Medicago truncatula: one gene and its partners. The protein of the gene in region 2 interacts with the protein of the main gene of each other region in a pairwise test. Links are inferred from orthologs where the notes say so. Each region holds a gene or a part of one and is shown on either strand. Other genes may lie near its edges. The genes, in order: transcription factor HEC3, transcription factor TCP4, protein WUSCHEL and SWI/SNF complex component SNF12 homolog.

Region 1 (6,442 bases), about 19 Mb from region 2:
CAGAGATGGAAAAGAGGCACAGAAAGACAGAAAAGAAATCTAGATAGAGAGATATTACTATATAACTATAAATTGATCAATAAATATTTATATAGTTTCTCACGTCACTGTTGAATTTATTCCCAGAAAGAGAGTCGGCCAAACAAACTTTCCGGCCAACAATCAAACTGCATACACATTATTCTATTCTTATAATTACACACACACACACACACACACACATATATATATATATATATATATATATATATATATATATATATATATATATGCCTCTATACGTAACCAAAGCCAAACGTTATGATTATTCTTCACAACCTTTAGTCAACAATCCTAACAAACCTTTTTCCCTCTCACATGATCAATTTCCCCTATCAAACTTTACTCTATACTACCTAGCTATATATATATACGTCTTCACTCTTTAATTTATTTTTCCTCTTTTTTCTCTTTCTCTAAACTCATCATCAACTTATATAGTTACATACATATACTAATATAAAAAATACTTCTCCAATTTCATACACATACATAAATAATGGTAAGGTTGTTGTCTTATACAGAAGACATAGGTCATGAGTTCGAATTCTGAATTTTTTTTCTCTCTTTGGGAAGACAATCATCAACCCTATGCAAACTTCACTTGGTGAAACCTTGTGCAATATGGACTGTCCTTTTTATACATAGATAAAAATATTTAAGTATAATATAATTTAACCTAACTAATTAATCACTCACTAATTACCTCATGATGGTTAAAGCTTGATGAGCCATCACAAGCATGAACATGTGAATGTCCTCCGGCGTCAAATTGAACTCCGGCGGGTAAGTCCACTGTGGCAGCTGTTGTGGAAGTGAGTAGTAAATTTGGTGCAAAAGGCCAAACGTCACAACCGGAAGAAGGGGACAATAACAAAGCACTAGGAGTTGTAGAATTAATGCATTGTGATGAAAGTGGCAATTGAATGTGTTGTTGTTGTTGATTTTGAGGAGTGGATTGAAGCAACTTGATTTGTCTCTTCAAAAACTTAACATAACGAATGGCTTCATCAAGCATAGAAGCTGTATCCATTTTAGTTCCACCAGGAACAAGTCTTTGAAGGATACGAATCTTCTCACTGATTCTTTCTCTTCTATGTCTAGCTGCAACACTTTGTGGATCTTCGCTGATTCGAACGTTTCTTCGTTTTGGTTTTCGAATCGTTGCTGGGTCGATGTCCACCGGTTGCATAGCTGCAATCTTGTACATCATTTCCTTCATAGCTCCTAACTCTTCTTCTTGTTCTTCTACGTCTTCGATTCGATGGATCCCTAAGATGTCACTGAGTGAACCTGATGAAGATGGTGGTGGTGGTGGTGCCATGATCATGTTGCTGTAGTTATTTTGTGGCCAAATTACAGAAGAATTCATAGGAACTTGATGATGATCTTGTTGGAGAATAATACGGTTTTGTTCATTTGTTTCCATTTTTTCAAGATTCCAAGTGCTTGTGAATGCGCTACTAGTATTATTTTGGTTATTTTCCATGACCAAAAACAATTATATATATGAAAAATATGAAGTGTTAGGTTCTAATTTTGATGGATCTAGCTAGTTAGATGATCTTGTGTATCTTTATTGATTTAATACTTTAATTAGCTAAAATTCTACCAAAAAAAAAACTTTAATTAGCTAAAAGATAAGAGGGAATAAACAATAAAAAGGGGTTAATTTGAGATATTTGATCAACTTTTTTTTGAACAACAGAAGAAATGAATATTCAATAAAACGAATATAAATGATACTCAAACTCAAAAGACGATAAGAGAATGAGAGAAGAAGAGAATAAATTTTTGGATATGATCATATGAAATGAAACAACGCTACTTATAAATAATAGTTAACGCACACATGTGTGAAGAAGAGGAGATAATTAATGTGAAGGAGTAGAAATTAAGGAGATTGAGGTTAAAAATATATTACCTAGCTTGAAAGTTTTTTTTATTGTTGTATTGTATATGAAACGTTGAAGAAGGTTTTTGATGGTTGAAAAAGAGGGTAGAGGGTATAGAGGGGGCCCAAAAGGAAAGGAGAGAATTGAGAAAGAAAAGGGAAAGTAATTTATATATGTAGGAAGGGGTTTTTACTGAAAGGGGAGTCACTGCAAAAAGCATGTAGACAAATGAATGAAAAGAAAAGGTAGTGCATGGTGCAGTGCAGCAAATTAAAGTGGTTGAATTGAATTGAACGAATGTAGTTCTACAAAGTCATGAGATTGATCCATATACCTAGCTATAGCCCCTCCTATCCCAACTTCAAAAATACTAGTCTAGTTCAGTTCATAGTTATATTTTTAGACAATTTATTTTATTAAAATTTTTATTTCATTATAAATATATATGTAACGTCACACGATTAAATATGTGTTGACTAATTTATTTTAGACCTAATATTATCTAAATAAAAAACAGGCCTTTTAGTTAATCCAAAAGTAGACTTTTGTGACCTATCCAATAAATGTAGACGAAATTGAACTTTAATAAAATAATATTATTGTCTTGAAATATTTTGAAGTGTCATGTTAAGAGGTTTTTTTTAGGCTTAAATATGTATTTCATCCTTGCAATCAAGGGTCGTTTAAAAATTGGTCCCTGTATTCGTAATCCTTGCAAACTAGCCTTGCAATCATTAATCATTTAAAATTTCGTCCTTTGACCAACTTAATCACTGCCACATATAAAATTCCAATTTTGCCCTTAAGAAGAGGACAAAATATTGAAGAAAGAATTGGAAACTCAGGGGTAAAATTGGAATTTCATTTGTGATAGTGATTGCCACGTCGTCAAATTAGTGACGCGGCAGTGATTAAGTGGGGAGAGGGACGAAATTTTAAATGATTAAACAATGCAAGGGTAAATTGTCAGGATTAGCGATTACAGGGACCAATTTTTAAACGACCCCTAATTGCAAGGATGAAATACATATTTAAGCCGTTTTTTTTATAAGTGTTTACAAGAGCTTATGAAAATATTGTGATATATTTATACTTTTTTAATTGTAAAGAGGTCAAGTGACGGAAAGAGCAGCCTCAAGAAGGGCAAAGCCAAAGCAAAAAATACAATGAAACAAATCACGGAGAGAAAAAAAAAAAAACAAGAATACAACAATACAAGAGAACAAATACAAAGAAATACATGTCTACTTATAAAAATATAAAACATAAACAAATCCTATCAAGGCAAGCATAAGAAAGGTTTCACAGCTCACTCGTGAAAAAGTGCAAGAGGGCTCAAAAGAGGGAAATAAATATATGTATAAAAACATACATGGTTAGTTTTAATTAACTAACGTCTATGAATTGATAAATCAATTGTATTTTATTTTTTAAGGGAAATAAATATATGTATAAAAACATACATAGTGATAAGTTAGTCAAAAATCACGATTGTTAGATAAAATTAGACAATCCATACATATCAAACCAAATATATATTTATATGAATGATTTTCGTGTAGCAATTGGACTCATCAATGTGTACGACCATTAATCAAATATGCATCCATCTAATGAAAATAATAGAAATCGTTCTATCTTAATTAGTGTATTTATGCATATGCACTGCCTAGGTAGCTAACGGTGAAAATAGTAATTGAATTGGTTCCTCTCTCCAATTTGATGTTAGGTGCACTGAAATCCTAGGGCTGCTTCCCATTTATTGCCATTTTCATATGCCTTTTGCTCCTTGCTATAATTTAATTCGCTCCCCGTCTCCTTCACTCATTTTGGGATTGGTTGGATGGCGACTTCAAAATTTCGGTTTACAAACTCAAAAATCCAAGACCAATTTAAATGGCCAACTATTCATTAAATGAAATCCTTTATCGATAGTCGGTTAAATAGAGTTCTCTATGCATTTTCATGTAAATACAACTCAGTTGTTAACTATAAATGTGTTATATCAGTGTAGTTTTAAGTAGGTTAATTGATAACGGTAAGGACGTTGATATAGAGATGACAAGGTTGAAACTTTAAATTCCTCATTCCTTCACACTTAATATGTATCAGCTTAGATATTAAGTCACTTGATAAAAAAAAAAAATCCTATTTAAAGTAAAAAGGAATACTATATTTTTAATTAAAATATGCACGAAAAATTGCAAGAAAAAATATGTACGAAAATTACGATAATTTAGATATTTTTTTAAGTCAAATGAGATCGTATTTTTTATTAAGAAAATTATTTTGCTTCCCCTCATAGAAAATGATGGTTAGTTTGTACCTAAAAAAGGAGGTTTTTTCTACATTATCCTATCTTGTTTAGAGTGTATTTACCCTTTCAAGATATCAACCAATCAAAATGTAATATACAAAATGTAACATTAAATGTCAAATAAATGAGTCAATTTATTTTAAGCAAAATTACACTAAATGTCCTTTATTTTATTTATTTGTAACACATTAGTCCTTTATCTTTTCTTTGTCCCATTTAGATCCTTTATCAATTAAAATGTGCACAAGTTAATCCTTTTCTTCATTTTTCTATTAAAAAAACATGAAAATATTAATTTTATTAATAACTTTATTTTATAAAATATTTTTTAATAATTAAATTCAAAAACCCTATAAACATTTCATCCTCATATTCATCATCTTCATCTTCTTCCTTAAATCAAAAAAATTGTTCATCCAAATAAACCTTCAAATTCCTTAAATATTTTCACTTCCATCTTCTTCTAAACACAAAATTCAAAATCCCCAAATTTCATAAACCCTAATTTTACCAAACCGATAAATTTGGATTTTGGATTTAAAGAAAAAATCTCACAATTTGGATAGTAAACCTCTCATGTTTGAGTGCTCAAGCATAGTTTTAGTAAAGATCATCACAACTTAGATCTTGTAATTTTCTCATCGAATACAATTATTATTTTCCCTGTAGCTTTCCTATCTATGATGGTAGTGAAGGCGAGGTTGGCCTGCAACAATAAGAAATTGTTTATACCATTGTATAACACTAGTAAAAAATCCAAAAAGGTTAAGAATCTAAAAAGCTAAACAGCTAGCTCATATGCACAATCCTCGTCAAGCTCACATCAAACACCATTATAATCAAATTTCATAGAAATCAAGAACCCGATCGATACTTTGAATTCTTGGTTTCTTTCTTTAAATCTAAAATTCAGATTTATGGGTTTGGCAAACTTAGGGTTTATAAATTTGAGTATTTTTTCTTCAAAAAAAAAATTGAGTATTTTGAATTTTGTGTTTAGAAGAAGATGGAAGTGGAAATATTTAAGAAATTTGAAGGTTTATTGGATGGACAATTTTTTTGATATAAGGAAGAAGATGAAGATGATGAATATGAGGATGAAATATTCATAGGGTTTATGAATTTATTTATTATTATTTTTTTTTTTTAAAACAAAGTTATTAATAAAATTAATATTTTCATGTTTTTTTAATAGAAAAATTAAGAAAAGGATTAACTTGTGCACGTTTTAATAGATAAAGGACCTAAATGGAACAAAAAAAAAAGATAAAGGACTAATGTGTTACAAATAAATAAGATAAATGACCTTTAGTGTTATATGATGGGTTGAATTTGATGTGAAATTTTAATTGTTGCAAGACCTATAGTGTAAATTAATTAAGATTGAATACCTAAATATATAATTAAATTAAATGTTACCTTAGGATTAAAATTGATTTTTTTTTTATAGAAAAAATTGACTCATTTATTTGACATTTAATATTATATTTGTATATTACATTTTGATTGGTTGATATGAAAGGATAAAAATACCCCTAAACAAGAGAGGGTAATCTAGACCTAAAAAAAAGGGTGGTTAGTAGTAGTACTACCCAACAAAAGAATTGATTTGGTGCTAGCCTTTTTGAATTCCTATAGTTGCTAGAATAAATTACATGTAATTTACCAATTAATGACATATCTCTTTTTTTTTTAAGGGAGAACTAAAGAGATATCTCTTGTTATTCAGTCCAGTTCAAAAAACTATATGCAATAAATGTATCATCATTGAACATAGAACACAGTCCCCCTTTAATTTGATGCAACCCCTTTCTCCGTGGCTCAACAATTACGGTAATTTATTGATGTATAAGAAGACAATTCCGTCAGCAAGTCCTAGCTCAACTGGTAAAACGTCAAAATTGTTAGGCCGAACGTCATGATCAGGATTCGAACCTCAATACCTCCACTTGTGTATGAGTTTATAATGGCTTTGTCATTTCGTCTATCTACTATAAAAAAAACAAGAAGACAATTCCAAAGTCACAATTAATTTTGACATCACCCGCATGTGTCATACTAGTATTCTTGTATTAATTAATGTCATTGAATAATTTATTTCAATAGTATGAAATTACTACTACTTCAACACACAAGACGATTTGGAAATATCAAATACATTGGTGATCATTATATTAATCGTAAAATTAGC
Region 2 (7,906 bases):
ACGCGAAAATGCGCGTTTACGGAGCGCTGCGCCTGAACAAAGGCGATGGGCGCCCACAAGTCAGTAAGCCAGCACTGGGCGCCCCACTGCCAGCACCAGGCGCCCTGGACAGGGCAACATGCTTGTTGCTCCGTGTCCAGGTGCTTGGGGGTGGTCGTGTAGGGGCCCTAGGCGATCGTTTTGAAGTGTTCTTTTGCTGTTTTCACCTACTTTTCTACTGGAACACATTTAACTTTGTTGAAACTTTAATTTTCCAAATAGTTTGAAGCTTGTAATTGTGTCGTTTTCGGTTTTCTGGAAATTGTCGAAACTTGGTTTTTATGAACAAAAAGGGGTTGCAAGCTTAGTCTACAGTTCTTATGGGCTTAGGCAATGCTTGTAAGGTTAGTACAATATCTTAATCATGTCAAACTTGATTTTCGGGTGGGATTGTGGAAAATGTGAAGTTGGGTTTCTCATACGAACTTAAGTTGTTCTTGGGTTAATGTCCAATGACCCGGAGGCAACTTAAATTCATGAATACATTGTCGATTAAGATTGTTTGAAGGTTTTCAAGTTGTCTATGTCGTTTTGCTTTGGGATTTGTCAATGTTGGTCGGTGACCACTTGATATGGTTTTTGGTCGGAAATGTTTTCTTGAGCCAATTGTCTTATGAATTGTTGTGACCATTTTTATATGACTAAGTGAAGTTGTATGAATGAATGATTGTATTGGATATGATGTTTATCATGAGAGGTGTATGCTATCTTACCTAGTATGTAAGGAATGCTTGAATGGTGAAACCACATGTGATAGTTGATGTTGAATGACATTTTTTGATTATTGATAATCATGTTGATGTGAGATGATGAATACTATGAATTAATTGTGTATGGGCATGTTTTCTTAATAATGCAATGTTGTGGAGGTAATCAATATAATTGGGTGTCGTCCTATATATTGAGGTGAAAATTATGGATTATTGTCGCATTATCAAGTCCTTGTACATGTCCATGCATCATAGTCGTGTTAAAATTTTATATGATGTTTTATTCATTATTGGGCTCCGGCCTTGCATAGATCTTTTTAGATCTAGTTACGATGTTTTATTCCTTATTGTGCTCCGACCTAGTAGAGATATTTTGAGATCTAGTTTGTGAACTTCGGTCTTGCAGAGACCCTTGGTGGTCTGGATATGGGTGACGACCTTGAGGAGATTGGTACCACATGCATATATGTGTCAATAGGTGCATATCATGACATGAGTCTTATTGATAAATGTGATTGGTGATTGTTCGTGAAATATGATTGAGGATTGTTCATGATGTATGTGATTGGTGATTGTGTATGAATAATTGTGAATTGATATTTGTTCATGATACATGTGATTGATGAATATTGATGTGAGATATTGGGGTGTGATGTAAGCATTGTTATGTGAATATTATTGATCAAGTGCATGATGTTTATATTGAATTTTCATGTTAACTGTTATTTTGTTTATGATGATGTAATACTTACCCCCAGTGGTTTTAACCGCCTATCTGTCTGTATGGATGGGTAGACGTTGTGCAAGAGTAGTGCTTGGTGACTTTTGTGCTTGGTGGATATCGGGAGCTTTCTCCAATATCGGTGTTTAGTGTTTAGTCGGCTCTGATCTAGGCTTCATTGTGTCAGTCTAGATTAGCTTTTGTTGGACTTTTGTTATGTTTGGAGATTACCCGTATGTTGAGATTTTTGAGATGCATTTATGTTGATGTGATTATTGATTCATGACATGTATATTTGGATCACTCTGGTTTATATTCCGCTGCGACTGTTGAAGTTTATATACATGTTTATGTTTATTGGTTTTGAAATTTGTATGTGACGTAGCCTTTATTTCTTAAATAAATGCATTATTCGCATGTTTAATTGCTTTAATAGAAATAGGAGTGTTACAACACGTGTCCACACTTAACGTTTTTTATTAAACCTAACATAAGGGACCAAAACGAGACTATTAAAAAACTTAAAATACTCAAACAATTTTTTTTTAGTTAAGGGACCAAAGTGATACCAATTAAATACTTAAGGGACCAAAAGAGCATTTAAGCCAACAAAAAAAGAAAAAGAAAATTAGTGTATTAGTGAGATTAATTCAGTTAATAAAAATAATGCATAATATATGTAAGAATCGAGGTTGAAGCTCCAGCCACCATAAAAAAATATTAAAAGTAGTAACCATGATCACCACAAAAAAAGTAGTAAACTATTATTGTTATTACTATTATTATTATTATTATTATTATTATTATTATTATTATTATTATTATTATTATTATTATTATTATTATTATTTATTTTATTTTATTTTTAACGACGGAATGTAAAATTTGTAATGTTAATTTTTGTATTTTCAAATTATTAAAATGTTGCAGCAATTTAAGTTCATACGAATAAATAAATAATTTTTGTATAATGATGTAAAGTTAGTGAGACCTACTTAAATACTCATTGGAGTCCTTAGAGCAACCACATTGGTAGGGTCTTTACCATTTATGATCCGGTATCTAATAGGTACACTCAATGTAGAAAAATAAAATTGAGGGTCTCTTAAGTCACATAGTCTCACTTAATACCACCATCTTAAGTGGACCCAGTGGCGGAGCCAGGAATATTGTAAAGCCCGGGCAAAAAAAAAATTGCAACACATTTATAGGGCGTACATAAGAAATTGCAAGCAAATAATAAAAAATGTAAAGAAATTGCCCAATTTATAGGGGTTTATATAAGAAATTCATAGGGATTTACACAAGAAATTACAAAAAATTTGGCCCGGAGCCCGGGCGAGTGCCCGGGGTTGCCGGGCCTTAGAACCGCCCCTGAGTGGACCCCACACCAGTTTTTAATAAAATAATTATTATTTGAGTTGATTTTGTTGCTTTTCAATTGCAATTTTCATTCTTGTTTTCTCTAATATATACTCCCTCCGTCCCGGATTAACCGAGTCAAAAGCTCATTTCACAAGTATTAAGAAAAATGTATAAATGAAGGAGAGAGAAAAATAATTTTAAGTGTACTTGTTAAATATTAGTGCATTTTCCACTATCATAAATGTAAAGTGGAATATATTGAATTGAAAATGATGAAAATAGTTTTAACCAGAGTTATAAAGAGAAAAAAATAATTAATATTGTATTGAAAAGTGAAATGACTCAATTATCTTTAAGATACTTTTTTTTTCAGGAAATGGCTCACTGAAATGGCTCAGTTAACTTCCATAATGCTACCACAGTGTATCGTTGGCTTTTCATTTTTGCTCTCATTTTCTCAAAGTCCCTAAAAATTATTCATCCATTCTTATCCTATTTACTCATAATTAAAATCACTGTGTCGTTATATTATTTTGGATAATGAATCCAAACCAAATAATTAGTTATTGTTTTAATTATGTAATTTTATCATCCTTTTGAAAAAAATTGTAATTCTTAATATTTGGCAATATTATTATTAATTATTTTTCAATTTTTTAATAAACTACCGTTGATATAAATTTTGTAACTTTATATTTTAATCGATTTAATATTATAAAATAGATAACAATGTATTAAATAAATAGTTATTGGTGGGATCTATTTAGACCCTACATATATAATTTTTTATATCTGTCTCTCTCTTAAAAAATTATACATGTAGAGTCCATTTAAGAAGTCCATATTAATCGATTATCATTGTGGATGTTCTACCTCTTATATTAGAAAATTGTGTAGAAGTAGTTCCTTTTATATTAAAAATTGTATAGTTGCCTTATATATTTAACTTGTATTTTTTTTTTTAAATCACCAAATTTTATTAAATAACCAGATCGCTGCTCAAGACGAAATAAAGACCGATGAGAATACAAATAAAATGTGTCATATATAGGCTGAACATGCAAAATAAACATCCTAAAAACACCCATAATGACGACACCCACCAAAATATAGGTCACCATATAAAACAGACTCCTTAACAAAAACGACCATTGTAAAAACGATATCCGACCATCCATCGTCGCCACTCACCCCTTTAGATTCCATTTAACTTGTATTTTCAACTCGATTTTTTGTTTAGTTTTTTAAATAACATCCTTAAGACAGTGATTGACCAAACATAAAGAAACAATTTGACTTTGCAGAGAATAGGACAACCATGCAAAAACTTAGGCAGACAATGTTCCTTTCAGAAAAGGAAGAGAAGGGAAGCCTCCAAGATGACGTATACAGTAATTTCACAAACCAGATAGAAGTAAAGTAGTTTCGAGGAAGAAGTAAATTCAGCGATCTATGTTACTGCGTAGTTTCTTTTAAATGATAAAAGGGGTAAAGATAGAGAGAGAAGGCCAAAAAAGCTGTGATGGTGTCCCTTTCAAAAGGTGTGGTGGTAGCATATAAAGGATCTATCCCTCCAACAAAGACATCCACCCTTGTCTTTTTGAAATAATAATAAAGTTTTAACTTGTAACAAGCAAGTTAAACTCCCAATTACCAATAATAAAAATAGGTGAATTAATCTATTTAGTCTCTGAATGCTGAGAAATTGTAAAATAGTCCTTGAATGTAGACTCTATTGGTCAATTTTAGGGACTAAAGTGATTAACGGAATCTACATTCAGGAACTAAATAGGCTAACGAAATCTGCATTCAGAGACTAAATTGATTAACAAAATCTATATTTAAGGATTATTTTACAATTTATCTGCATTCAAGGACTAAAGTGGCGCCTCATATTCTATTCAGGAGCTAAATGACTAATCTCTCAATAAAAATAATATAACAAGGAATGGAGGGAAATTAAAAGCAAAAAAATAGGAAAAGAAAAGAGGGAAAATGGAAGGAAAGTAAATTGGTGAAAGGTAAATGAATGAAAATTGGATAGGTTGGTGGTAATATGTAAGTAGAGTACAAGAAAACTAGCAGAAGAGCAGTGATGAAATAAAACGGACGTCCATTCTGACCAAACACTGCCACCCTTTGTCACTGCCATCATCATCAAAAGCCTCTTTCTTATAGGGCCAGAATGAATTCCTCTTCCCTATACCCTTAATTTACTGTTATCTCTCTCTCTTCTTTCCTTCTCTTGTCTTCCTGTGTGTTGAGATATGGAAAATTTGCTGGATTTTTCACAACAGGACACCTCTTTCTCGTCCTCTACAAGTGGGTATTAACCAACTCATTCTGCTCTCTTCTACTTTCATTCATTAATTAATGCAACAATAACACTGGTATCACACTTCATTCAACTTGCAAAAAAGGCAAAAAGTGGTACAGACTTAGAGAGAGACAGATAGAGGAATGGGTTAGGCTCAAAACTGTTAAAGCATTCTTGGGTTTGGTGGTGATGATGGAAATGGGAAAATTGAAGTGGTGGCAGTTGCAACTAGAGTGTGAGAAAAGGAAACAAAACCATTGATTTAGTAGTAGTGTTGTTCTGTTGAAAGCTGGAAGAAGATAAGCAGAACAAGGGTCTGAGTCTGGATCCCCCCAGAACAAATTATCATAATCATCCTCTTTATCAACAAAACCAACAAGACCCTCATCACCATAACTCTGTTCTAAATTCAAGTTATGTAAGGGATAATGAAGAAGAAGAAAATGATGAACAAAATTCATCTCCCTCATCTGAAAAACCCCTGCATCATCCTCACTATCATGACCAACACCAACACCAACACCAAGACCCAACCTTTCATTTTCATCACCAGTACTTTCAACCACCCCAACAATATCTAGATTTAGAACCACAACCAGAGTCACTTGAACCACCAAAAAAACGGTCTTCTTTTCTTCCACCACTACCACACCCTAATCCACCAACATCATTATCTTTCTCTTCCATCGAATATGCAAGAAAGATGGGAGAAACAATACACGACCAGCACACAGGAACAGCAACAGCAACAGCTACAACAACAAAAACAGCAGCAACAACCTCGTCGAAGAGAATCAGCAGCAGCGGAGGAGGAGGAGAAATCGTGGAGGTACAAGGAGGTCACATTGTCCGTTCAACAGGACGGAAAGACCGTCACAGTAAAGTTTGCACCGCGAAAGGTCCCCGTGACCGCCGTGTACGACTCTCAGCCCACACTGCGATTCAATTCTACGACGTGCAAGATCGTCTCGGCTACGACCGGCCAAGTAAAGCAGTCGATTGGCTCATTAAAAAAGCTAAATCTGCTATCGACGAACTCGCTCACCTCCCCGCTTGGAACCCCACAGCTACATGTTCTTCAACACCACAACAGCAGCAGCAGCAGCAAACAAATGAAATGTTTCACCGGCAATCTCCGGTGGACAACAATCCAGTAACCGCTTCTACCAGTCACCGCTCAGCGGCATTAGAGCGAAGAATGCCACCACACGAACAACAATTTCCTTCCCAACAACAACAGTTGGAGATAGACTACAACAGTAGTAGCAGTGGGAAACATGGTTTTCTTCAAGGCTCGTTAGACACTGACATTGCGGATACTATTAAGTCTTTTTTCCCAGTTGAAACGCCCACCACATCTTTTCACAATTATCAACAACCGCCGGATTTACTCTCTCGAACGGCGGCAACCACCCAGCAGCAAGATCTCCGTCTCTCATTGCAATCTTTTCAAGATCCTATTATGCTTCAGAGCCACCATGACAACCACCACCACCACCACAATAACAATAACCAAGTGCTTTTCGCCGGAAACTCCTCCCTTGGTTACGACGGTGGTGGAAGTGGAAGCACCTTGTGGTCTGAGCAGCAACAACAGCAGCAGCATCAAGAGGAACATGATAACGGCAGATTGAATAGAATGATGGCTTGGAATGCTAATAATATTAATGCTAATGCTGCAGATGGTGGTAACAGTGGCCATGGTGCTGGATTTGTGTTCAGTACACCGGCACCGGCGTTTGGCGGTTATGGTCAGTTTTTTACTCAGAGGGGACCCCTTCAGTCCAGTTACAATCCTTCAGTTCGTGCTTGGATAGATCCTTCAATGGCGACGGCGAATATCGTTGATCACCATCATCACTATCTTTCGCCGATGATCCATCAGGCTTCTGTCTCTGGTGGTGGATTCTCAGGCTTTCGTATACCAGCACGAATTCAGGGTGAAGAGGAACACGACGGCGTATCCGATAAACCGTCCTCTGCTTCCTCCGACTCTCGCCATTGATTGGAACACTGATAAAAATAATCCAAACTTTCAGGTTCTACCTTCAATACCCAGTTCTTAAAATTTCAATTGAGTTTCTCTCTGTTTTATTCTTACTGCAATTTTTTCTTTTTATTGTGTTTTGACTGTTTTTTCAGGTTCACGGTTTGCGTTGCAGACGGTCTTTTTTGGGAGAGAGCTTTTGGTTTTGAAAGAGCTACAATTGGAATTCAAAAGCAACTTGGGTTTGGATTTTTCAGATGTTTCAACTTCAATTCAATGGCTTATATATATATATATATACCGTGTGGGAATGAAGAAAATCTGGTTTGATTTATTCATTCAGATTTATCAATTTCAGTCCCCCGGTTTTGTACTACAATTTATCTTTTGTTTTTCAAGCTTTAACTAGGACTAAGAGTACTACTATGTTTATGTTTGTGTCTAATTTGCTTCATTTGTGTCCTTGGATTTCAATTTGTAGTAGTTGTGTTGTGTTTTCTTAATTAGAACTTGTTCCATTTCTAGTTTCGACTAGTAATTTGGAAAAAAACATGCAGATTAAATAACTGAGCTAGCTTGCTCAAAAGTTGTTGTTTATTTCCATCTTGGTGTAAAACCCCAGTTGCAGAATGAAGCATTTTCTCCTTGTCACGAAAAAGGTAGTAAACCCAAATAACCCGACATATAAATTTTGCATATTCAAACTTGTGTATGATTTTGGCTTTGGTTGTTGGTATATATGGTTAATGCTGTCTTTGTTACAAATG
Region 3 (6,587 bases), on a different chromosome or scaffold from region 2:
TTGACGAATATATCAACTGTCAACACGATATCAAGATCCACTTATCAACAACCTCCTAAACAAAACATTAAGCATATAACTAGTTATTATATAAGTTGTACACATCAGACAGTACTAATTTTATTTTTTAAAGTGAAGAATTTGGATACAAATGAATTTCTCCTTTGTTACAAAAATAACATAATATAATCAATTACTAACCCAAAAACTCATCCAAAAAAAAAACATGTCCTAACTACGTCACTAATTCATAGAAAACGATGGAGTTTGATGCAGCACATGATTTTGCACTGGTTGCAAACCAAATATGATGCTACCACTTGAGTAAAGTTGTTGGCTAATTATGTGTTGTGTGTGATTAACTTTTACTAACATTCCATCATCACTTTTAGTATATTAGTATCTTTTTGTAAAGCCAATCATTTGAATTAGCAAATTAATGCAAAGAATGTTTGTAGGGAAATGGACAACAAAAATAACATAACAATAATTATTACTAATAATCAGTCATTGTCAGTCCAATTAAGTTGCCTACATGACACTTGTCAAGTTAGGAACAACTCTTGACTAAAAACAGAAACAAACTAACTACATTAATTTTCACATTCATTAAATATATATAACCTTAACACATACCCTAAATTCATTATATATATGTAGCATACTATTATTATATATAAGATAAATTAAGCTTCATCTTCAAATCTTTAAACTTAGCAAATTTAATTAGCATAATCTGGTGACCTACAGCCGTAAGAGTTGAGGCTAAGTTCCAAGGAAGTAGTACGAGAACCATACATGAATCCAGCATCTTCAGCTTGATACCAACCACCATAGTTAGATGAATTTGATTTGAGGTTACAATAGCCACCATGAATGTCTTCACCATGCATAGGGAATAAAGGGAGGGTTTCAATTTCAGGTGAACCATTTTCTTGTCCTTGATCATATTCTTCCATGATTTCTTCATTTGGTCTTATTTTTTCAAATAAGTTGGCATAAGCTGAAGAATATGGATCGACATGATGACCAATCCATCCTATGTGAGGGTTTATGGTACTTCCAACTTGACTGCTGCTACATCCAGCTGAAATTGTACACTCCTAAGAAAAAGAAGAAAAAAAATCAAAACTTGATATTTCAACATTTTGCAGAAGAAAATAAATATATGTGACATGTCTAAAGCTATACCTAAAATATAGAGTTTTAATAATCTACAGAAGCATTAACTAGTTATGATTCAATATACAAGTGTTACTTTCACTTCATAAATTAAAGTTTTATTTTTAATGCTTAGGTTTATGAGGTTGTTCTTCTTATTATGGAAATTTTCTGGATTGTCCTTTTGGTTATTAAATAAAAGATCATGGATTTGAATGCATTGCAAAGGGAAAGAAAACTTGAAATAATAGTATAAAGTTTTTCATGTCAATAACTTACCCTAAAACTCTTTTCCATGGGGACAGATCCATATCCATAGTTACCAATCTGGCCTACAGTAACCATCTCAGCAGAAGAACATGAAGCAGAAGAAAGCCCTAAATAAACACACACACAAAAATTAATATAGGATATAGTATATAATATTTAATCAATTAGTTACTTTTTTTTTTCTTGTCTCAAAAAGGAAAAAGAATATACCAGCAGATGAAATGTTGTAAGTAGAATGGTTGGTATGAACATTAATGTTTTGTTGTTGTTCATGATGATCAGGTTTCCAATTAGCAGCAGAAATAATAGTATTGTTGTTTGGTGCTCTTTGAATGATGGGAACAACATTAACATCAGAAGTGAACCTTTTCTTCTGTCTTTCTCTAGCTTTGTGATTTTGAAACCAATAAAAGACATTTTTGCCTTCAATCTTACCATACTGTCTTAACCTAGCAGAGATTCTCTGAATCTGTTCTGCACTTGGTGATCTAATTCCATTGTTGTAGTAAAGATCCTTCAATATTCTTATCTGATCTGTTGTTGGTGTCCACCTTGTACTACTTTGTCTGCTTCCCATAATCCCATTGTTTGGTGAATGTTGTTGTGTCTGTGGTTGTTGTTGTTGTTGAGGCTGTTCCATGTTTTTGTTGGACTGAAAACAAGAACAAAACAAAGAGAAGAAAACAAAAAATAAAATAAAAGATAGAATAGAGAGGGTAGGTGAGTGTGAAAGAGAGTACTACTGCATGTAATGTATTGTATTGGTAGGTTATATATATAAATATAAATAATATGAATATGATGATATAGGGCATGCACATGGTACATGGAGTGATAAAGAGAGAAAATCAGAAATGATATCTGGGAGAGAAGGACTGAAGTTGACAGAGAGATGTTCATAAAAAGGGAAGGGACAAAAGAGAGCTTAGAAAGTGACCAGGAATTTACTTGGATCAAAAGGCATTGTATGCCAGGTATATTGTAAAAAATAATGTATTTGCATACATTGATTAAATTTTAAATTAGAAAATAAAGGGTATGTATGTAAATGTACTGTAATGTATCTATGTATGAAATGATATGAAAAAAAGTAGATGTTACTGAATGAATGAATGAAATAGAATGATGCTAGTGTGATTTGGGAGTTCTCAATAGGTTCTTCTTTTGATGTGGAAATCAGACATGGCCCCTACATGAATATATCATTTTTCAATAGCTACTAAGATATTGTTGTACTAGAGCAAAAAAAGTGGAGGGTAAAAATGTATTTTTCATTAGTATGAATCTCATATGTATGGTATGGGTCCCAATATATATGAACCTTGTTTTCATTAGGGTTTTAAATTTATTTTGTTCTGCATATTGGTACACATATTCTAAAGTTATATCAGGAAGTATAACTTTTCTAACTGTACTTTTGATGCAGTGGTAGAATTGATGATACTGATGAGCAAAGAAGACTATATATTATGGTTTTGTATGGTACAATTTCTATATATGTGTGACAAAGATTTTGAATTATACAGTTTCTTGAGTCTCTATAAGAGAATAGGTACTCTCAAAATGTCTAATTAATAATTATATCTGCACAAGACTTGATTATGATCAGTACTGGGAAATGACCAAAAACAGAAAATATAGTATGTAAATAAAGCCTTTTTTTAGTTATACGTTCCTTTCAATTAATATTCATTTTCTTGTAATTAATTAATCTTTCTTTCTCTCAGTCAAGATCACACAATAAGGTTAGGATTCTCTTTAACATGTCACATTTTTCTACTAAAGTGATTGCACTTTATGTGAAGATAATAAAATAGAGAGATATGTATATGATAGGGTTGAAATGTAAAGGGAATTATTCTTAAACTTTATATAGTTAGCTTTTTGAAGTGATTTAGTTACAAATTATTGGAGGAGATGACAAATAAACTAACACTTTGCTTTGTCTTCTTTTTGTCTCTATGCACACGGCCACAATATCTCCTATCCCAATATAAAACAAATAGTATATTCATACGGAAATGCATGATTTCATCAAATGGTATCATGTGAAAGTTTTGTATCCATCGCTCTATAAATATATTAGATAGATGAGATGAGATTCTAATAAAATTTGTGATGAAAAACCACTAAATATACTTGTAAAAATACCCCACCAAATCAGTATAAAATTTTAATGAGATGATCTATTCCTCAACTTTTTATGTTGTTTAATTTCCGTGTAAATAAGGATTGATAAAATTAATTTATAAAAAGATTCATAAAATTAAGGGACAACAACTACTAATTTGGATTTTGTTTTGATTAGGGGTGTTAAAACGAGCCGACCTTGCCGGTCCGTCTCGTTTAACCCGTCGTTTTAGGTAAGATCAGTAGAGATTTTCAACATAAAACTTTCAAGTTTTCTCGTCTCGTTTAACACGTTGAGAAAGCGAGACAGTACAAACTAGCTCAATGGCTAGTTTACAAAAATTGTAATCTTTTATTGCTTGCACATATGGTTACAGTATCTTACGTTGATTAAATATGGATTAAACATATGTGTTTATAAATGAGGAAAATCATCAACTTACAAATTGATGTTAAAATTATTGAATTAGACTCGGCTCAAAATTTAAAATGATATTGCACTCTATCTAAAATTTTCTGAGTCACCTATTATCAAGTCACTTTTATTGATGCAAACAATTATTAACTTGATTGATTAATGTTAGAAATATGTTTGGTTTCACTTTTATATATCTTAGAAGTGTTTTTCAAGTACCAAAAGTAAGGCGTCGTTTAACGTGCGAGATGCATTTTTACTAAAAAAAGAATTTAACATTGGTGCTATAACGTGCAACTGTAGGTAAATCTACTGTTAGTTACCTGATTTTGTGTGTAATTTTAATTTTAAGAATTATATTCTCAAATTGAAGGCAAAGGGCATTTAAGGTACTTCAAATTCACTACCTTTCCTCTCTTTTATTGTCCTTTACCCTGAAACAAGAGAATATCCATTCCTCCCGGTTTAATACACGCCTTAATTAACATTGTTTATTTTTAAAAGTTAATCCCTCCCTTTTTATTTTATTATATTTCTTTTTTGGTAGTGTTTTTATTATATTTATTTGATTATTAATCATTTAACACCATCAATCTTAATAAATTATTACGATAGAATAACATATGGAAAATAGTACATTAATTGAACACATAATTTCTAATAAAAAAATTAAGGTTAAATATATTTTTGGTCCTTATAAATATATCAATTTTTCGTTTTAATCCCTCTAAAATTTTCAATCACTACTTTCGGTACCTATTTTTAATTTAATTTTTGTATTTTTTAATAAAATTGTGCAAAAATGTGTTAAATATTCTAAAAAAAATCCCAAAAAAAACTAGAATTTTTTAACAAAACAGAAATTAAATATGAATTTTTAACCTTAAAACATTTAAAAATTCATACTAAATTCATGTTTTGTTAAAAAAATCTAACTTTTTTTAGGAGAGATTCTTATTATATTATGAATTTTTCTGCAAAATTTTATTCAAAAATATGAATCTACGTATGAGTTCACTTTAAAGGAGGGACCAAAAGTGAATATGAAAAATTTTTGAGAGACTAAAAGTTGAACAAATTTTGTATTGGGACTAAAATGAAAAGTTGACATATTTATGGGGACCAAAAACATATTTAACCCAAAAAATTATAAACGTTTACAACTAAATTTTAATTAAAAAAAATTATACAAACATTTCAATCCTTGGAAAATTCTCATATATATAATGATAGTTTGTCTTTGGAAGATTCTCGGATAACGGAAGTTAGTCTTTAGAAGAATTTCACAAGATAAAGTTAGTCTTTGGAAGTTTCTCATAGAACAAAAGTTAGTCTTTCGAAGTTTCTAATAGAACGAAAGTTAGTCTTTAGAAGTTTCTCATAGAACAAAAGTCCGTCTTTAGAAGTTTCTCATTAAACAAGAGTTAGTCTTTAAAATATTCTCATAGAACGGAAATTAGTCTATAGAAGTTTCTCATAGAACATAAGTTAGTTTTTGAAAGATTCTCATACAACAGAAGTTAGTTTTTAGAAGTTTCTCATAGAACAAAAGTTAGTCTATAGAAGTTTCTTATAGAACAAAAGTTAGTCTTTGAAAGATTCTCATAGAACGAAAGTTAGTCTTTGAAAGTTTATCATAAAACAAAAGTTAGTATTTGAAAGATTCTCATAGAACGGAAGTTAGTATTTAGAAATTTTTCATATACCATAAGTTAGTCTTTGAAAGATTTTCATAGACCGTTACTGTTCGTTTGAACATGTTCAGTTTGCTCCGAGCACCTCTGTGAGACAAGTTCCAATAGATGATACTTTAAGTAAATTTTTGAAGTTAGATTTTTTTTATTTTTTTTTTTATAATTGAAATCCGAAATAGTATTGTGATTAAATAAAAAAAAAGTAATAACTTTATTCATAGTGGTAGATTAAAACAGAGGTAATCATACCTGTTTAATATATTGAATGACCGATAAACTAAAGTTAATTTGAACTCTTATTAATTAGATTTTTTTTTTTTGACAATCAATTAATTAGATATATTTTTAAGATTATATTATTAATTATTCATAGTGTTTTTATATTTTAAGTATAGTTGTACTATTGTCCACTATTTTATCATTCTCATAAAAATAGGTATATCGTTATAAAATTTAACCTTTTTAGTTTCAATAAACGGTGATTTATTGTTTCAATTTTAAATATGAGAGTAAAATACCACATAATATCAAAATTCTAAATAAAATCAAACTAAAAAAAATCAAATAATATTTAAAAAAACCTATTTATGTGGAAACCGTTTTTTTAAATAAAATGAACGTTACACTCAGTATAATACAAAAGGCATGCGACGAATTTTAAAATTACTGAACGTTTTATCAAGCATGCCCAACCTTAGATTCAATGAACAAAAATTAAAGGATTGCTTTTTTAAGAATTTACAAGCTCGTTTAGTTGGTTAATGACAGAAAATATTAAATGTAGGAGAACATAAGCTAAATAAATAGTTGCTGGGATTTTTACAGTTATCCCATCTTTGACAAAAACACCCTTTATTACAATTTCATTTCAAAATCAGTAACTTTTTAAAAGATCAACTTTAATGATTAAATTTAAA
Region 4 (6,952 bases), on a different chromosome or scaffold from region 2:
TACGGCATGGAAGATGGAAAACTAGCTTACTTAAGAATTCCCTTGATTTATATTGAAATGAATAGCATAAAAGGATGAATGATTTCAAAATAAGGAGCACTGGGACTTCTCTAGGTATCATGTGCTTCCTGGAGCATCACTTCCTGCAGCTGGTTTGCGATTCAAATATCGAATAACAGCATCTTCAACCCTGCTCATGTTGTCAAACAATATATGAATTCTTTTAGTGAATGATAATTGATATAGTTAATGCTCAATCGTAAAATGCATCCATTAAACATAGAAAATACAAATACATTGATTCAAGGCTTATTTTAACTGGATTGTGCACAGAAGAAAGAAAAAAAATGCATTTTAAAACATTTGAAATGAAATCCTATCATATATATCAGTGTTGTCAACTGCAGATCTTAGAAAATGGTGGTTTGTTCAAATTCCGCTACACTACACTACACTTTGTGCCTAATAGCATATAGCAGAATAATCATGATTTGTTCAAATTATGTTATGCTATGACAGCATAGTGCGCTATTTGACAACACTGGGCCATATGAGATGAAAATAGGCGCATAAATCCAACAGTCCAACTAACATATATGCTAAGTTTATATATAAATCATCATCATTCATCAACTAAGACAATATATGGAAGGGGACTATTAATCACAGAAGTATAGTGACAATTCTAAATTATATCTGATTTTGAGTCAATCACAATCAATTCTGGCAGACGATGATGAATTAATTTGCAATCAAAGATGGTAGCAAATAAACAGAGACAAGCAAAAAAAACAAAATATAAAATAAAATAAAACAATGGAGGATAGAAAAATGAGCAGAGATAGTTCTCAAAGATTACCATGGTTGGTTGAAAAAATCTGCTCGGCGCTCTTTTTCAGCACTGCGACTAGGTTCTCCAGCTGCAGCTTTCAGATCCCTGCTTTGAGACTCAATCAAGGCATTAATAAATTCTACTGGAGATTGACTGAAACCAAGAAAGAATGCCCGTCTCCTACGATGCTCGTGGATTTTTCTAATGATTCCACATATCGATTCATCACATGTTTCAATCTCTTTGTTCTTCTCAACATTTGCCAATAGTGCAGACAACTCCCTTTGAATAGGAAAAGGAATATCAATCATCGCATCGTAACAAGCACTCCCAGCTGGACTATTTCCCGATAGTTTGATCTGATGCTCCACAACTATAGGTGGTGGAGGGAACAAATGTGGTGATATTTTCTGCGAAACCGTTGTGAACTTCACCTTTTCTTCCCCAAATACTTTCTGAAGAGGCTGATCACAGTGAAAAAAAGAAGGGTCGCTAGGGTTCTGCAGTTTCCTAGCCTTCACATAGTGCCATATTGCAGCAATAATTCTTGGACGAGTATCAACGTCGATAGCAAGAACTTCCGTCAATGCTGGTGAAAGCTTAAACTTCTCAGGTGCATAATTCATATAAAACTGTATATTCACCGAAAACTCTTTATCCCCTTTCCTCTTCACTTCAAAACCTTCTTGAGGAGCAGGTGATCGATAACTATCCCACATAATAGTGTTGTTCTCAGGATATAGCCTCGGATCCAAAGTAATGATTACTTTTTTAAAGAAAGCCGAGAACTTTGGATACATCGGTGACGACTTCTGAACTACTCCCGGCTGATCAGGGTCAACACCATCTTCCAATACCCTCCCAACTATCTTCAGTGTCCACGTCGGAGGCTCGGCATTTGGCTTCTTAGGTATCGTGCGAATTTGGTTCGCAAAAGTGTTAAATACATAAATACGAAGAGTTTTCTGAATACAAGGCGGATTTTTCAGCGCTTCCTGAATATCAACCTTCTTTCTAGAAAGTGCAGCATCCACACGAGACTCAAACTCGAGAAGCTGTGTATAAAGAGCAGATTCCGGCAATATAGCAGCCACCCTTTCCTGCATCGGTTTCTCAGGAAGCTTCTGCTTCTTTCTCCGTGCAGCAGCAGGCGTGAGTTCCATTGGTCTCAACGGTGAGAAATTATTCTGAGGCGGAAATCCAACCGGCCTCATAGGTGGTTTCAAAGGACCACGTTTCGCACTGCCACTCCCAGGCGTAGACATCGACGACGACGAAACACCTAAATTCCCTAAACCACCAACCTGATTCTGATTAAGACTCAACCCTTGAGCTTGCAAATGAGCCTGGAGCTGAGCATGAGCTACTGCTGCAGCTTGTGCATGAGCCTGAGCTTGAGCCTGAGCCTTATTTTGTGCTTGAACTATAGCATGGGCTTGTGACTGTGGAAACTGGCCTTGAAAACCAGCAGCCATTTGGGCTTGAGCTTGAGCTTGAGCCTGGGCTTGGGCTTGGGCTTGTGAAAAAACAGGGTTTGTAGACATAGAATTAGAGGGCATTCCAGCATTACCAAAGGATGATGAAGAAGCACCAATGCCTTTAGAAGGGTTGTTATTATTGTTCACAGACATCACTATCCAAATCTAATCAACAAAAGGGTCGAAACCCTAAAAATTCAAATCTTCAAGACCCAGATGAAAAAAATCTAAACTTTATGCAATATTATCAATCATAGACCAAAAGGGTACCTATATCACAACAAATTCAAGTGTGAAAACTACTTCGTAAAAATTCTGTTACCAAAATGGAAAGAACCAAAATCACTGATTTTGATTCTGAATTAAGTAATGTTTACCTCGATCTGGATTCAGGAAGATCCACTGATTGAAGAAGAAGCCATGAAGAAGTGAAAAATGTGATTTTTTTTGTGAATTAGGGTTTGGTGATGAAGAGAGAGAAACAAGGGGATAAGATGAATTAGGGTTTGATGAGTGAAAATTGCGAAGAGAGAGAGGTGAATTGAGGAAATTGACGAGAGAGAGTGAAGATTTAGAGAGAGAAAGAGATGAATTTTGAGGAAGATGAAGATGGTGAAGGTTTGGCTAGGGTTTGGAAAATGGGTCAAAGTTTTGAGTCAGTGTGAAGCGTTTAGTTTTGAAACGGTGTCGTTTTTAGTTCTAAAACAAGTTGTGAATGTTATAACCAAATCCAAATGTAATAAAACGTGTTTTTTCCTTTTTTTTTTTTTTTTTTTTAAGAACCAAAAATGGAATTTATATATTAACAACGGCGGTGAATCCCCATAAGCACAAGGTGTACTCAAGAGGTCACCCCAAAATTACAATATGTCTGAGTACAAAAACAATAACAGAAATCAATCGATACCCAAACAACGTAAAGGGTTCGACCACCATGTTTGTAAACCATAAACAAAACTAGCATTATTAGCTTTTAGCCATCACAAAGCTGTATATTTAACTTTATCCATCAAGTCTGTCAGTGGAGTGTGAACATTATTGAATAGCCTGTTGTTTCTTTGTTACATAATATCCACACGCAATAGCCACAAAAGCTGCATAAATGAACGTCTGGACCTCGAAGTGCCTATAGCGATAGTAAACTGAATAAAATGAGCATGTATGTTATAGGGATCAGCTCCAGAGATGCCAAGCCAATTCCTAACATGGTGCCATAAAGCACCAAAAATATCACAGTGAATGAACATATGTAATACTGATTCGTTGTTCCCACACCCCGCCACACAATAAATGTCCGCGCGCGGGTTGAATAATACCTCGCCTCAAAAGATTCTGTTTTGTTGGTAATTTGTCCCGCAACAACCTCCAAGATAGAATAGAGACCTTCAAAGGTACCAGCCTATGCCAAACAAGATCTCTCGTTTCATCACTTAAAGTAGCTACCTATGTAGTAAGAATTTGGTAAGCTCCACGCACAGTGTACCCCCCCCCCCCCCCCCCCCCCGGTAATGTCAAGGAGCCACTGCCACCTGTCAGTAACAACAGTCTGCAAAACAAAATTGTTAAGTAATAGGCGACACTCCCCTAGCAACTCCTCCTCCCACTCCCACAACCTTCTCCTCCATCTCCACGCTTCACCCCCTACCTCCCAGCCTAGAGAGAACACCTCAGCGACTGTAATCATTTTATTCAACGATAAATCAAATAAGCGACTAAACCGCCTACACAACGGAACAACGATAAATCAACAGAACACCTCACCCTTGAAATAAAAAGAAAATGTTTTAAAAACATTGGGTTAATTTTGTCAAAAAAAAAAAACATTGGATTAATTAGTGTCTCATGGATATTAATTGAAAAGTTTTGTTTCTCAAGTTGTTTAGTGATTAGAAATTTATCCCTTAAGACTAATATATGCTATATATATATATGATTTGCATTCCAATATCTATATATATATAGTATGTGTTTAGTTGTGCGGTACCAATTTCACATCAAGTCAAAATCACAGTAGGAACCATGTTTGCAATGAATTTATGGTGGGGTTTAGCATGGGAAAGTGGAGTTGTTTCCCACCATGGAAAAATATTTTTTGACGGTTAGATTTAAGAGGATCGTTGATCTTATTATGGTCTGCACACACTATATATTTCCCAACTTTGTCTTCAACCTCACTGTCGTCTCTCTCATTTAACCACCACCAAACTCCAGTCAACAACCCACCCCTTCAGCCTCACTGATCTTTCCCCACTGATTTTCAATTCGAATTTTGCTGTTTGACATAAAATTGATCTTTCAATCCCTTTCTTGTGCATAAAAATTCCTTTCCATTCTACGCTTATAATAGGTTCCAAAATGGCAATCAATTTTAAATAATTAGACATGTAAAAAGTAAAATTCACCATTAATATTGAAAAACATAGTTTTTGTAACAACAACCATGGCATTGATAACATTACGTACTTTCAAAAAACCTTTCATTCATTCTCAAATATAATAGAAAAACAACCACTTTCATCATCAACAATAGAATCCAATAAAACACCAGCAGATTTGTGCTTTCAAAAAAATTTAGATCTGAGTTTTTTTTATGTTTTTTTTTGTGGTTGAGTTATGGGTTTTTTTGTATGTGTTGATTATCCTTTTTCTATGTATTTAGTTTATTTGAATTGATTGGATTTGGGCAAGCGATTTTGGCAACTGAAACTCCCAAGCAATGGGTACCTATTAGAGTTTTTTTGAAGGTGTGATGAGGTGGGTTGTTGACTTGGGTTCAGAGGTGTGGTGGTGGTGAAAGGTGGAGATGATAGTAGTGAGGTTGATGACAAAGTGGGGAAAGATATAGTGTGTGTAGATTATAATAAGATCAATGAAAGGTGGGAAACAACTCCCCTTTCCTATACTAAATGCCACCTGAAGTTATATATAGTAGCTTTTCCAAATTACAACAATTTTTACCTTGGGGCGTGAGAAAGTTACTTCCACCGCACATCCAAATAAGCTAATACTACCTCCGGTCCTATTTATAAGAGAAATTTAGGTCAACAAAAGTGAATGTATTTGGACTGAATTTTTAACTAGATACATCAACTTTTGTTGACCCAAAATTCTCTTATAAATAGGACCGGAGGGAGTAGTATAATACAATGTCTCTTTTAACCAAGTAAACTCACATAAATTGGATACAGAGTTACAAAATAGTAGTAGTTTTATATTTCAAACAACAATTTTAAAACTATATAAAATTGAATTTACAACTTTCCAATAAATTAGTTTTATATTTGTTTCATTAATCAATTCATTCGGGCCATTCTTTAACATTTTTTTAAAACATTTTATCATTCTTAGACATTTGTTATTCATTTTCTATTGGGTTAAATAAGTTTTTATTCTTTATAAAATTTTCAAATTTCGCCTTTACTCTCTCGAAAATATTTTTTCAATTTTTTATCCTTCAAATACTTTATGTCATCACTTTTGGTATCTGTTTTTAAGTCAATTTATGTGTATTATTCAAAATTTAATAAAGACATATGTCGTCAAGTTTAGTACATTATAGAATTATCTCTTGATAAAAGTATTGAATTTTTAAATTAGAGATTAATTAAATGTGATTTTTTATAGGCTTAATTGTAGTTTTAGTATCACAATCTTGGAATTTTGGCCCCCTATAAAAAAATCAATAACAAATCAGCCCAAATTTACCCATTTTTATACTTTTGACTCTCTAAATCAATTTTGACCAAGTCAATGCATACGTGGCACCCACACCACTTAAAGTGAGGTGCCACGTGTGACTTTCTATTTTCTTAAGGGGCCAAAATCGCAAGATTGTGATACTTAGGGAGCCAAAACTAAGTTTAATAAATAAAGTGATTTGGGTGCCACTTATGCATTGACCCAGTCAAAATTGGTCCGGGGGACCAAAAGTGCAAAAGGGAGTAAACTTAGCAGACTGATTTGTTATTGTTTTTTATAAGGGATCAAAATTGCAAGATTGTGATACTTAGGGGCCAAAAATGCAATTAAGCTTTTTTATTTTTTTTGTGCTTAAATAATCATATTTAATCATGTTTAGTTATAATTTTTTTTTAGAGATTCTTATAATATTCTAAACATACTTGAAAAACTCATTCAAAAATATGAAGGGTACACATGATCTTACCTAAAAGCAAGGATCAAAAGTTGTGACAGAAAATATTTGGAGGACCAAAAATTGAAGAAATCTTTTAGTGGGACAAATGAGAAATTTGAAAATTTTATAAGAAACGAAAACTTATTTAACTCTTTATTTATTTGTTCTTTATTTATTTTATAGGACTCATCAATATCAGAATATACCTCAAGGTTCAATAAACATTTACATAGGTGCTTACTAAATCACTAGGATTCATACCTTGACAACAAAAGTTGATACACAATCTTACAATTGAAACAACTCCTTATCAAGTCAATCGTCACAAGCTATTTGTTCTTTATTTTGAGTTTAGGGTAATCTTCAATTTTAATTTTTGCAATATTAGAGACTTTTTAATTTAATTAAAAGTTTTTTTTTTTTACTCAACTTTAATTTAAAGTTCAAAAAATTTATTTTTGATCAAAAAGGATCAATTGACCATTGAATGATCTTTTTGAAAGAAAA

What was found.
Region 1: the proteins of transcription factor TCP4 (region 2) and transcription factor HEC3 interact in binary tests that used the Arabidopsis thaliana proteins (3 or more experiments, as listed by UniProt). The link is inferred for Medicago truncatula from reciprocal best matches to the Arabidopsis thaliana genes TCP4 and HEC3.
Region 3: the proteins of transcription factor TCP4 (region 2) and protein WUSCHEL interact in binary tests that used the Arabidopsis thaliana proteins (3 or more experiments, as listed by UniProt). The link is inferred for Medicago truncatula from reciprocal best matches to the Arabidopsis thaliana genes TCP4 and WUS.
Region 4: the proteins of transcription factor TCP4 (region 2) and SWI/SNF complex component SNF12 homolog interact in binary tests that used the Arabidopsis thaliana proteins (3 or more experiments, as listed by UniProt). The link is inferred for Medicago truncatula from reciprocal best matches to the Arabidopsis thaliana genes TCP4 and CHC1.

Annotation. Positions count from the first base shown.
Region 1 is NC_053049.1:43,199,008-43,205,449, reverse strand, and holds transcription factor HEC3, read right to left. Parts: upstream 1,600-6,442; 5' UTR 1,529-1,599; coding exon 731-1,528; 3' UTR 533-730; downstream 1-532. UniProt on the Arabidopsis thaliana protein: Required for the female reproductive tract development and fertility.
Region 2 is NC_053049.1:24,584,010-24,591,915, forward strand, and holds transcription factor TCP4, read left to right. Parts: upstream 1-4,887; 5' UTR 4,888-5,855; coding exon 5,856-7,157; 3' UTR 7,158-7,191; intron 7,192-7,294; 3' UTR 7,295-7,742; downstream 7,743-7,906. UniProt on the Arabidopsis thaliana protein: Transcription factor playing a pivotal role in the control of morphogenesis of shoot organs by negatively regulating the expression of boundary-specific genes such as CUC genes, probably through the induction of miRNA (e.g. miR164).
Region 3 is NC_053046.1:8,573,101-8,579,687, forward strand, and holds protein WUSCHEL, read right to left. Parts: upstream 2,267-6,587; 5' UTR 2,072-2,266; coding exon 1,642-2,071; intron 1,539-1,641; coding exon 1,441-1,538; intron 1,104-1,440; coding exon 723-1,103; 3' UTR 532-722; downstream 1-531. UniProt on the Arabidopsis thaliana protein: Transcription factor that plays a central role during early embryogenesis, oogenesis and flowering, probably by regulating expression of specific genes. Required to specify stem cell identity in meristems, such as shoot apical meristem (SAM).
Region 4 is NC_053047.1:8,638,481-8,645,432, reverse strand, and holds the start of SWI/SNF complex component SNF12 homolog, read right to left. Parts: upstream 3,014-6,952; 5' UTR 2,688-3,013; exon of another isoform or gene 2,500-2,687; 5' UTR 2,464-2,499; coding exon 860-2,463; intron 191-859; coding exon 118-190; 3' UTR 1-117. UniProt on the Arabidopsis thaliana protein: Involved in transcriptional activation and repression of select genes by chromatin remodeling (alteration of DNA-nucleosome topology).